Kluyveromyces lactis: one gene and its partners. The protein of the gene in region 1 purifies or fractionates together with the protein of each later gene. This does not show direct contact. Links are inferred from orthologs where the notes say so. Each region holds a gene or a part of one and is shown on either strand. Other genes may lie near its edges.

Evidence for each region.
Region 2: the proteins of NFU1 (region 1) and ISA1 purify together in Saccharomyces cerevisiae (affinity purification with mass spectrometry; 3 studies listed by BioGRID, with this or other methods). This does not show direct contact. The link is inferred for Kluyveromyces lactis from reciprocal best matches to the Saccharomyces cerevisiae genes NFU1 and ISA1.
Region 3: the proteins of NFU1 (region 1) and ACO2 purify together in Saccharomyces cerevisiae (affinity purification with mass spectrometry; 3 studies listed by BioGRID, with this or other methods). This does not show direct contact. The link is inferred for Kluyveromyces lactis from reciprocal best matches to the Saccharomyces cerevisiae genes NFU1 and ACO2.

The regions. Positions count from the first base shown.
Region 1 is NC_006042.1:2,367,159-2,369,950, reverse strand, and holds NFU1 (Nfu1p), read left to right. Parts: upstream 1-1,443; coding exon 1,444-2,214; downstream 2,215-2,792. Other genes in the region: KLLA0_F25498g (uncharacterized protein), read right to left, coding at 1-955; MCO14 (4a-hydroxytetrahydrobiopterin dehydratase), read right to left, coding at 2,365-2,792. UniProt on the Saccharomyces cerevisiae protein: Involved in iron homeostasis within the mitochondrion where it is involved in the assembly of iron-sulfur proteins.
Region 2 is NC_006042.1:1,662,935-1,665,712, forward strand, and holds ISA1 (Fe-binding Fe/S cluster assembly protein ISA1), read left to right. Parts: upstream 1-1,493; coding exon 1,494-2,189; downstream 2,190-2,778. Other genes in the region: FRA1 (aminopeptidase P), read left to right, coding at 1-601. UniProt on the Saccharomyces cerevisiae protein: Involved in the assembly of mitochondrial and cytoplasmic iron-sulfur proteins. Probably involved in the binding of an intermediate of Fe/S cluster assembly.
Region 3 is NC_006039.1:307,624-312,080, forward strand, and holds ACO2 (aconitate hydratase ACO2), read right to left. Parts: upstream 2,801-4,457; coding exon 413-2,800; downstream 1-412. Other genes in the region: Ras family guanine nucleotide exchange factor BUD5, read left to right, coding at 1-198; PHO90 (SPX domain-containing inorganic phosphate transporter), read left to right, coding at 3,988-4,457. UniProt on the Saccharomyces cerevisiae protein: Catalyzes the reversible dehydration of (R)-homocitrate to cis-homoaconitate, a step in the alpha-aminoadipate pathway for lysine biosynthesis.

The DNA of each region.
Region 1 (2,792 bases):
CTGAAGGAGTCATATAGTTTTGAATAAGGGCAGCGACAGATATAGCAAACGTAAGTACGGAGAAAAATTGAACACGTCTCATCGTGGTCTTGTTCAATTTAGGGTAAACCACACCGTAACCTTTGCAAATAACAAGAAGTAAGAATAGAGACATGGTGATCTTTGCAGAGTTCAAGATTGAAACAATGACCATGTAAACAGTGGTACCAGCGGTCGAACCCTTAGTGTTCTTCAAGTCATAGTAACCCCAAATGAAGATTGTATCAATGGTTAAAAACACAAATGCAGCCAGTAAATATTTTTGCAAGGGCAATAGTTCATGCTTGTGTTTCCAGAAGGCAAATAAGTACAAGGCCATAGCGACAACATAAAAGATTGCCAATAACCCATACAATGGCAATTTGTTAATTTCAGAAGCAGCTAGATTACCAAAACTATTCCTGAAATTTACCTCAGCCTTGTAAGAGATCCCAGTGTCCTTAGCGTAAGTACCAACACAATAGTAACCAGTTTTCTTAATGGCATATTTGTCCTTCACAAGACCTGTATTTCCCACATAGAACGTATGAATGTCGGCACTTAATGACTTTTCGGTATCACTATCTGGATCATACGCTTCAGGTGAAATGATAAACTGGTTCTTGTTCTTTTCTTGACATAGATTCTCTTTTATCGCTTCTTCGTCACAGATATACTTAACTACACCCGCTTTCGTCTTAGCCCCAATGTGGATGTAATCTTGGAAATCAAAGATCACCACAGAGATGCCTTCTTTGTTCAATTTCTTTAAATCGAACGAAATATATGGATCTACACGACCACTCCAATCCTCTTTAGAATACATACCACTGCAGATTTGATTCTGCTTCTCTGTGATAGTACCCTTATTGGCCGTCGCAAAATGCAACCAAAGGGCCGTACAAAACAAAGTGACCCAATTCAATTTGAAATTCATCGTATTGTCTATCAAAAGCTAATTATAGGCCTTTATTCTCTCCTTTTTCCTAGACTCTCAAGAAAAGATCGGCAATTAGTTTTATTTCGTCTCTTTAAGAATCACACAGCCTCGGATATAAAGTAGGGTCCACAATTCACAAGCTACCACTGGATAAGAATAAATAGCACACAATTGGAAAGAAAAACCTTGTTCTTGTACAGTCGGAAACCGTCTCAGTATATTTTGCTGCCTTCCATTAAATTTTGTTCTGTTACGATATCTAGTGGGTCATTTCTTGTAAAAGGGACCTTTTATTTTCTCATTTCTCTAAAATGTTCAATCCATAAATTATCTGAAAAAACGTAATTTTCAAGAGATTTCGAATTAAAGGAATTTCCTCTAGTATTACAAAGCACTCATCTTATGCTAAGATGATTAACAAGTGGTTTGTGCATATATAGAGAAAGGATGAGAAGTTGCAAGACAACGGATTGTAAACTGCGAGGATGTTAGGAAGGTTTAGTTTTGGTCCCAAGTTTTATAAGAGCGTACATCGAACGGTGTTGAATCCCGTATGGCAGAGGTCTATTCATATCAAGACACTTACAACGCCTAATGAGAATGCATTGAAATTTGTTTCCACAGATGGGGGGCTGCTACAGGAGAAAGGCACACAGAGTGTTGAGATCAAGAACACTGATGAGGAGCTTTTGAAACATGCTCCATTCCCATCTAAAGTGTTCCAGCAATGTCCTGGTGTTGAAGCAATGATGATCGGTGATGATTTCGTCACTATAAATAAAGATGAACTGATTCATTGGAACCAAGTGACTCCTACGGTGATAGATCTATTGGTACAACATTTAGCCAGTGGGAAGCCCACGTTTTTACCAGATTTCTTCGACGTGAAAAAGTCTTCCGAAGTTGGGTACGATGTGGACATTCCTAAATTTGAATACGATGAAGATGAGCAAGAGATCAGCGAGATGATCGATGAATTGATTCAGACAAGGATCAGACCTGCTATTATGGACGACGGTGGTGATATCCAGTACCGTGGATGGAATCCGGAGACAGGGACAGTTTATTTGAAGTTACAAGGTGCATGTAAGTCATGTTCGTCCAGTGAGGATACCTTGAAGCATGGTATTGAAGCTATGTTAAAGCATTACATCGAAGAAGTAGAGGACGTGGTTCAGATCTTGGATCCTGAGGAGAAGATTGCACTTGCGGAGTTCGAAAAACTTGAGAAGAAGCTGGAGAGCAGTAAGAGATGATTGCAATTGCCCAGTATGTCACTTCTTTCTAGCAATGAAAGAAACGTACAGGCATAACTAAGACTAAGCAAGGAATGAATCATGACAGCATGTATTTGCAAGGTATTATGCAAAACAGAAGTACACTATTATTTATTTATTTAATACATTCTATTTATCCCCTATTAGGATGCCCTTCTTGGGATCGATTTGTTTGATGTATTTTTCAATCCGAGAAGCCATCATGATATCAGCATCGGAAATACCAGATACATCATGCGTAGTGAGTCTGAACTGAACTCTGTTGTAGGTAGTAGTAATTGTAGGATGATGGCCCCATAAGTGTGACCTCATGGCAACTTTGTTCAAAAAACTCCATGTCTCTTCAAAATCTCTGAACTTATAATCTCTAACCAATTCATTCTCCATTAATCTCCATTTAGGCAATTTTCTGAGTTCTTGTGTCAGAAGTTTTGGTGGCAACAGCACTGGTACCTGTTTTACTATCTTATTGTACATGTCTATACTATTCAGTGCTTGAAGAGTGGCATTTATTACCTTTTCCAGCATCTCTCTATGCGTAGTTGATAGAATTCCAA
Region 2 (2,778 bases), about 700 kb from region 1:
ACAATTTTTAGAAGGTACGACAGACATCACACGTACGTTACATTTCACGGAGCCGACGCAGGAAGAGATTGATAACTATACACTAGTATTGAAAGGTAATTTGGCACTTGAACGGTTGGTGGTTCCTGAGGGCACCAGTGGATATAACATCGATGTTATTGCCAGACAGTTTTTGTGGCAAGCTGGACTGGATTACAAGCATGGTACAGGTCACGGTGTTGGTTCATTCTTGAATGTTCACGAGGGACCAATCGGAATTGGATACAAACCACATCTTGTAAATTTCCCCTTGGAAAAGGGAAATATAATCACCAATGAACCAGGTTATTATAAAGATGGTGAATACGGTATCCGAATAGAAAACGATCTACTCGTCAAGGAAGCTGAAGGACTACAATTTGGTAAGCGTAAATTTTTGAAGTTCGAGAACCTAACTATGGTACCTTACTGTAAGAAGTTAATCAACACAAGTCTTTTGACGCCAGAGGAGAAATCACAGATTAACGACTATCATACAAGGATATGGTCTTCAATCGTTCCATTCTTGCAACCATCCAGTATTGCATTCAAATGGCTCAAGAGAGAAACTAAATCACTATGATCCGTGCCTTTCTTTTCTCTATTAGATCACTGATTTTGTCTACCTATTCGGAAATGGTGACAGAACTTGTTCCAATTTCTTCACATGAACATGCGTTTTCTTATTAATTTGGTCCATATTAGTATTTCCTTTCTATTCAACTTCTTAATTCACCTTCGTTTATCAGAATCACCATTTTTTTTCACTGTCTATTCAGAGTCAACTAAACATATGCAACGTCCTTGTTGTCTGTCTATATAAGTACTTTTAAATATTACTTCCTTCGTTAACATGTACTGGTTGCACTAGTATTAATGCCATTCATTACCCATCGCCAGATTTCCCCCTGTTACTCATATTTGTCACGTGTGGTCACATGTTTTCATCCGGGTAACCATATCCTGACAAGTAAGAATCCTTTTCGTTTTTTGCTGACGTGAGATGACAGTTACCCGTCCCACATCCCTTACTTTTCCCCGGGATCCGAACACGGATCAAGTAGGAAACGCGCAGCGGGACTGATTCGTTGTAAACTAGTCATTCACTTTTTTAACTTGTTATGATGTATGCACAGGAGAACAGAGGATGAGAAAAAAAATTGAAAATTAGAGGATATATAACGAAACACTTATAATAAAGCATACTTTCTCCCGTTTCTTTGGTTAGATTCCAAATTTGCTAGTATCCAAATCATCAATCAACTGAAGGCAGGCCATACTCTCGCACAGGTTGTACAGAGATTACATTCTGATTCTATTATTATTTATTAGCATACAACGTTGTGGTTTTTCTACATCAGTACTTGAAATATTGATATCCATCGGGTTTGCTCCAAAAGTCCAAAGAAGGTAAAACAAAGTGAAAGTGACTTTCTCACGCAGAAGGAGCTCTATTTATCTATTGATTTCAAACGATGCAAAGACACATACTATCTAGAAGCAACCAGTGCCTGCTGCGTGGCAATGTGCTGGCAGTGAGACATCTTTCTCAAAGGCCACTGGCAAGGACTAAGAGGTTTTTGCAAACCTCTCAGAATGGGGATAAAGTGAATGCTCCAGTTTGGCCATTCAATTTTGAAATTCCAGTGAAGAACGGTAAGAGTAGTGCACCTGGTACACAGGAAGAAGCATCTGGATCTGGGACCGCAGGTGCTAAAAAGACATGGCTCACTTACTCGCTTCCTAAAAATGTTGCCAAGAAGGGGGAACCTTTACAGACCCAACCACCCAAAGTCGATGAAAATATTCAACCAAAAAAACGTGCAAAGAGAAAGCTAAGGCCACGTAAAGCTCTAATATCGTTGACGCCCAATGCTCTTTCTCATTTGAAGGGGTTGCTCGATCAACCTGAACCTAAACTAATAAGAATAGGAGTTAAAAATAGAGGATGTTCCGGTTTGACTTACGATTTGCAATATATTACTAGTCCAGGAAAGTTCGATGAAGTGGTAGAGCAAGACGGTGTGAAGGTTATAATTGATTCAAAGGCTCTTTTCAGTATAGTTGGTAGTGAAATGGACTGGGTAGATGATAAGTTGTCCTCTAGATTTGTTTTCAAGAATCCAAACTCTAAGGGTACATGCGGATGCGGTGAAAGTTTCATGGTATAATTAATGCAAGATCTTTCCATCATCATCGGCATCATTATCATCCACAACTTTGCATTGGGATGAAGCATAAATATTCATCACCTGTAAGGAGCATTGACTGTTGTCGCTTTCATCCGGATTGCCTCTGGAGAAAAATAAAGAAACTAACAGTTGACGCAACTAACACAACACTCACCCCACGTATTATTCTTCTGATAGGTTTGCTACCTCTTACTACAAGGTGTTTAGTTTGGAAAACTCATTCTAACGACATTTATTTATACAATAGCATCGGATCCTGATCTTTTTTACTAGCAGGTATTCTTTCCATTTGGGGTACGTACGGGGGCATAAAGCGTCCGGGACGCTGATGATATCCCCCGGAGGAGAATTGCTTGAATTTATTCTTTTATTCATTTGTTCAATGCGATACACCCTAAGAAATCCTCCCTCATTCAATCTCTTTCTTCCACACCAATAATACCCTTAAACACAATTACAATCATCATTATAATTCTATATGTATATTTATTGGTCACAAAAAATGCTACCTGATGTAGCTCGTTTATAACTTTTTTAACATCATATTTATTCTATCAAACCATATTCT
Region 3 (4,457 bases), on another chromosome or scaffold:
AATAAACATAATCCATCAAAAAAAAGGGACTCTTTCTTCAGTTTAACCGGCACCATCGATATTGACTCAAAGAGTATCAAGCCAGTTGCAGAGCTACAAGAGTTTATCCTTTTCGAATTTTGGAGAACGAATACGTTATATGTAAAAGATTCGGATAGAGGATACACTTTGAGTTTAGAAATGCTACCAAGAAATTAAGAGGAATGAAGAAGCATTACTTATAGATGAAATTGATACATTGTAATTCTTTCTCCTTTTCGCTCGAATGCTGGACGTTTTTCCTGTCTTATGGTCGTATAAAATGTAATCGAAATTTAATGAGTATACTTGATATTAACAATAAATAAGTGTTGCAAAATGCATATTAAAACTCCAGAAGAGCCTATTTGTTACAGAATTCCAAACGGAAACATTATGCCGCTGAACGACGTAGAGTACCGATGTAGTTAATTGCAGAACCTGCCTTGAAGAATTCAACTTGGTCCTTGGACATGGTATGTTTAGTCTTAATGATGAATGATTCACCGGAACGTTTCGTTACTTTAACGTCCAAAGTACCTCCATTGTCACCATACTTAGCAATCATGTCCGCTAAATTAACGGTTTCTATAACGTCACCAGAAGAGATTCTATCATAATCAGATTCATCTGCAAAAGTTAATGGCAACATACCTTGCTTCTTCAAATTTGTCTCATGAATTCTTGCAAAAGATTTGACCAAAATTATTTCACCTCCAAGGAATCTTGGTGACAATGCAGCATGTTCTCTAGCAGAACCTTCACCATAGTTATGTTCTGCTACTACAATCCATGGTCTCTTATCTTGCTTCCATTTGATCATTAATTCTGGGATACCGTATGCAGTTCCATCTAAGTCATAAGCTTTATTTACTTCACCTGTTTCTTTATTTTGTGCACCTATTAACGTGTTGTATGAGATGTTTTCTAGATGACCTTTATACTTTAACCAGACACCGGCGGCGGAAATATGATCTGTCGTACACTTTCCTTCCACCTTCAAAAGAACAGTAGTTTTCAATTCTTTACCGTTCCAAGGTTCAAATGGATCTAACAATTGTAGACGGTCGGAATCTGGAGCAACTTTAACTTCCACGGATGGATTAGGTTTCGGATCATTTTCAGGATAGAATTCCTTTCTACCTGAAATGAATCCGGCACCAGGTAGCTCTTCTCCCTTTGGTGGATTGAATTTGAACTCTTCGCCATTCTGTAATTTGATAGCATCCTTCATTGGGTTGAATTGCGCATCTCCAGAGTAAATCATTGCTGTGACCATTTCTGGAGAAGTGAGGAAATTCATTGTGTTTCTATTACCGTCATTTCTTGCTCTGAAGTTTCTGTTGAACGATGTGAAAATGGAGTTATATTCTTTGGATGTTTTGGCTACATCTTGCCTATCCCATTGGCCGATACAAGGACCACAAGCGTTTGCAAGAACAATAGCACCATTGTCCTTAAATGTCTTGATTAGGCCATCCCTTTCTAGTGTTGCTCTAATTTGTTCAGAACCTGGAGTTACGAAGAATGGGATTTTTGGCTTCAACCCTGCTTGAGAAGCTTGTCTAACCAATTCAGCAGCACGGGTCATATCTTGATAAGAAGAATTGGTACAAGAACCGATCAAACCAGCAGAAATTCTTTGTGGCCAATCCTCTTTCAAAGTTTTTTCCCCGAACTCAGATATTGGTGTAGATAAATCAGGTGTAAATGGTCCATTTACGTGAGGCTCTAACTCTGACAAATTGATTTCGATCACTTTATCGTATTCAGCTCCTTCATCAGCTTTTAGGAAATTATATTGGTGCAAAGCTTGGTCTGCAGCAGACGCGATAAAGCCTCTGTTGGTAGCCTGTAGATAACGTTTGTGAGCTTCTTGGTAAGGGAAAGTAGAAGTGGTAGCACCGATTTCGGCACCCATATTACAGATGGTCGCCATACCTGTACAGGATAGAGTGCCAACACCTTCACCGAAATATTCAACGATGAAACCGGTACCACCTCTTACGGTTAAGATACCAGCCAGTTTGGTGATAACATCCTTTGGAGATGTCCATCCACTTAAGTGTCCTGTTAATTTAACACCCAAAATCTTAGGAGCTTTCAATTCCCAAGGCGTGCCGGTCAAAGCATCGACTGCATCAGCACCACCGACACCAATAGCGATTGCACCTAACCCACCAGCGTTTGGAGTGTGAGAATCGGTACCCAACATCATCAAACCAGGAGCAGAGAAGTTCTCTAGCACGATTTGATGGATAATACCAGAACCAGGTCCCCAGAACTGGATACCATATTTGGATGAACATGATTGCAAGAAATCGAAGACTTCTTGGTTTGTTGCAATGGATGACACTAAATCCTTGGCTTCACCGTCTTTACCAACGATTAGATGATCACAGTGAATAGAACCTGGAACAGCTGTTTCTGGTAACCCTGTAGTCATGAACTGTAAAAGAGCCATTTGTGCAGATGCATCTTGCATAGCCACACGATCTGGGTTAAGCTTCAAATATTGTTGACCTCTAATATCGTTTAGATTGGAGGATGTTATTGATTCATGAGGATCACATAAATGTGAGTATAGGATTTTTTCAGCCAGTGTCAACGGAGCATCATTTACAAGACTCTTGACAACTTCTAGATTGGAAATAAGTTTGGCATATGGCGGTACCCTAGACTTCAAGTCAGCGGGAGCTTGCAGAAATGGTTCGACACCATTACCGATAACTGTGGATAGGTTTCTAGCACGGTTTACTACCGATCTTCTAGCAGATAGCATTTTGTTCTCAACTATAGCCAACAAACCTTTTGTCCTTGCGTACTAGAATATAATCATAGTAGTTTCCAGAACAAAGATGTAATACCGTGAACCACCAATAGACACTACCTATGAACAGCTGAAACTATCATATGTACATATATATATACCTATAGCTTTAATTGATTCGAATTCCTAGCTCATCGCATGTCAAAAGAGTGAAAAAAAACGAGAAATTCAATGGAAAAAAAAAAGTACAGAGACAACTAGCAGAACAAGTACTAAAAACTGAAAAATACCAGTTCAATTATGGAATTCTACTCGAAGACTCTGAGAAATCAGTCAGCAATCTTAGATGAGACAGTAAAAAATCCAATGGAAATTTTTTTATTTAAATCGATTTTTCGCTGAAGGGAAAATTCCGTGGGAATTTTTCCGATTTGAGTACTTTCTCGGCCTCGAATGAATGAGTCAGAGAATTACACGTGACCGGACTAGAAAATAAAAAAGAAATTCCAATATCTATTCTCCAGAAGGTCCCAGGTTCGAATCTCTCTCGGTAAATAAATATATATAAAGAACTGAGGAATTTCCCCATAAATTTGTCTCTTACCATATTAAGAAAATTACTGGAAAAAGTAATCTCGAATCCAATTCTGAAAATATTAAATCTACATTTAATCATAAAGGGCCCACGTGGGACCTAGTCTGCAGCCGTGAATGAAGCACTGAATAATAAAAAAAAGGAACTAAACAAAAAAGTATAAATCCGGCCACCCCAGAACCGCAAGGCAGCGGGTGATAACTTAGTTTTGCGAATATCAGTATCTCCGATCTCTCAGCAGATCACTTGGCTTTTAGCCGTGTTTATTTTGAGTTTTGTTTTATACATTTGGCTCAGGTATTCTCCCTCGCTATATGCGTTCTGCCGTGACAGAAAAAAGAAAAAGAAAGAATTCCTATTTTGAATGGAAATTGTGGAAATGGAACAGCATCCACTAACGATTTGAACAAGAAGGATACTTATATAATGGAAGCGGTTCGTGGCTTGGGAAGACTTTGGTAGTTTATGGACCGTTTGTGTATAGAATATACATATATACACTGACGAGCTATCTGTTTAGTGAGACATTGAGGTGTATAAGGACTGAGATATATCCCCTACGGTGAGGAAAAGTCGGAAAATAGTGTGAATCATCTCGTTAGAAATGAAATTCTCACACTCGTTGAAGTATAATGCTGTACCGGAGTGGCAGGATTACTATATCGACTATTCTCATTTGAAGAAACTCATTTACTCTTTACAACAGCAGGAATTGGACCAGTTGAATGGGGGCTCTGATAACAAGGCTGGATCCAGCAGTAAGTCGAATAAGCTTTCGTCGTTAAAGTTTTGGAAGAAAAATGGGCTCGAGGACGATTCCGATACTGGCATCGTTAGTGGTAGTGGATTTGGTAAGAACAGTGGTGGTGATGATGATGCTAACGTGGAAACTATTGAATTAGGTGAGTATCCAAACACGAAGAAAAGTAGCAAGAGGAGTAAATTTGGATTCGATTTCGATAAGAGATCGTCAGTGTCAAGTGAAAGAACCATTTTCAATTCTCAGGATGTCTTCCTTGCTAAGTTGACCGATGAAAAACGTAAGATCGATGATTTCTACAAGAGACTTGAGGC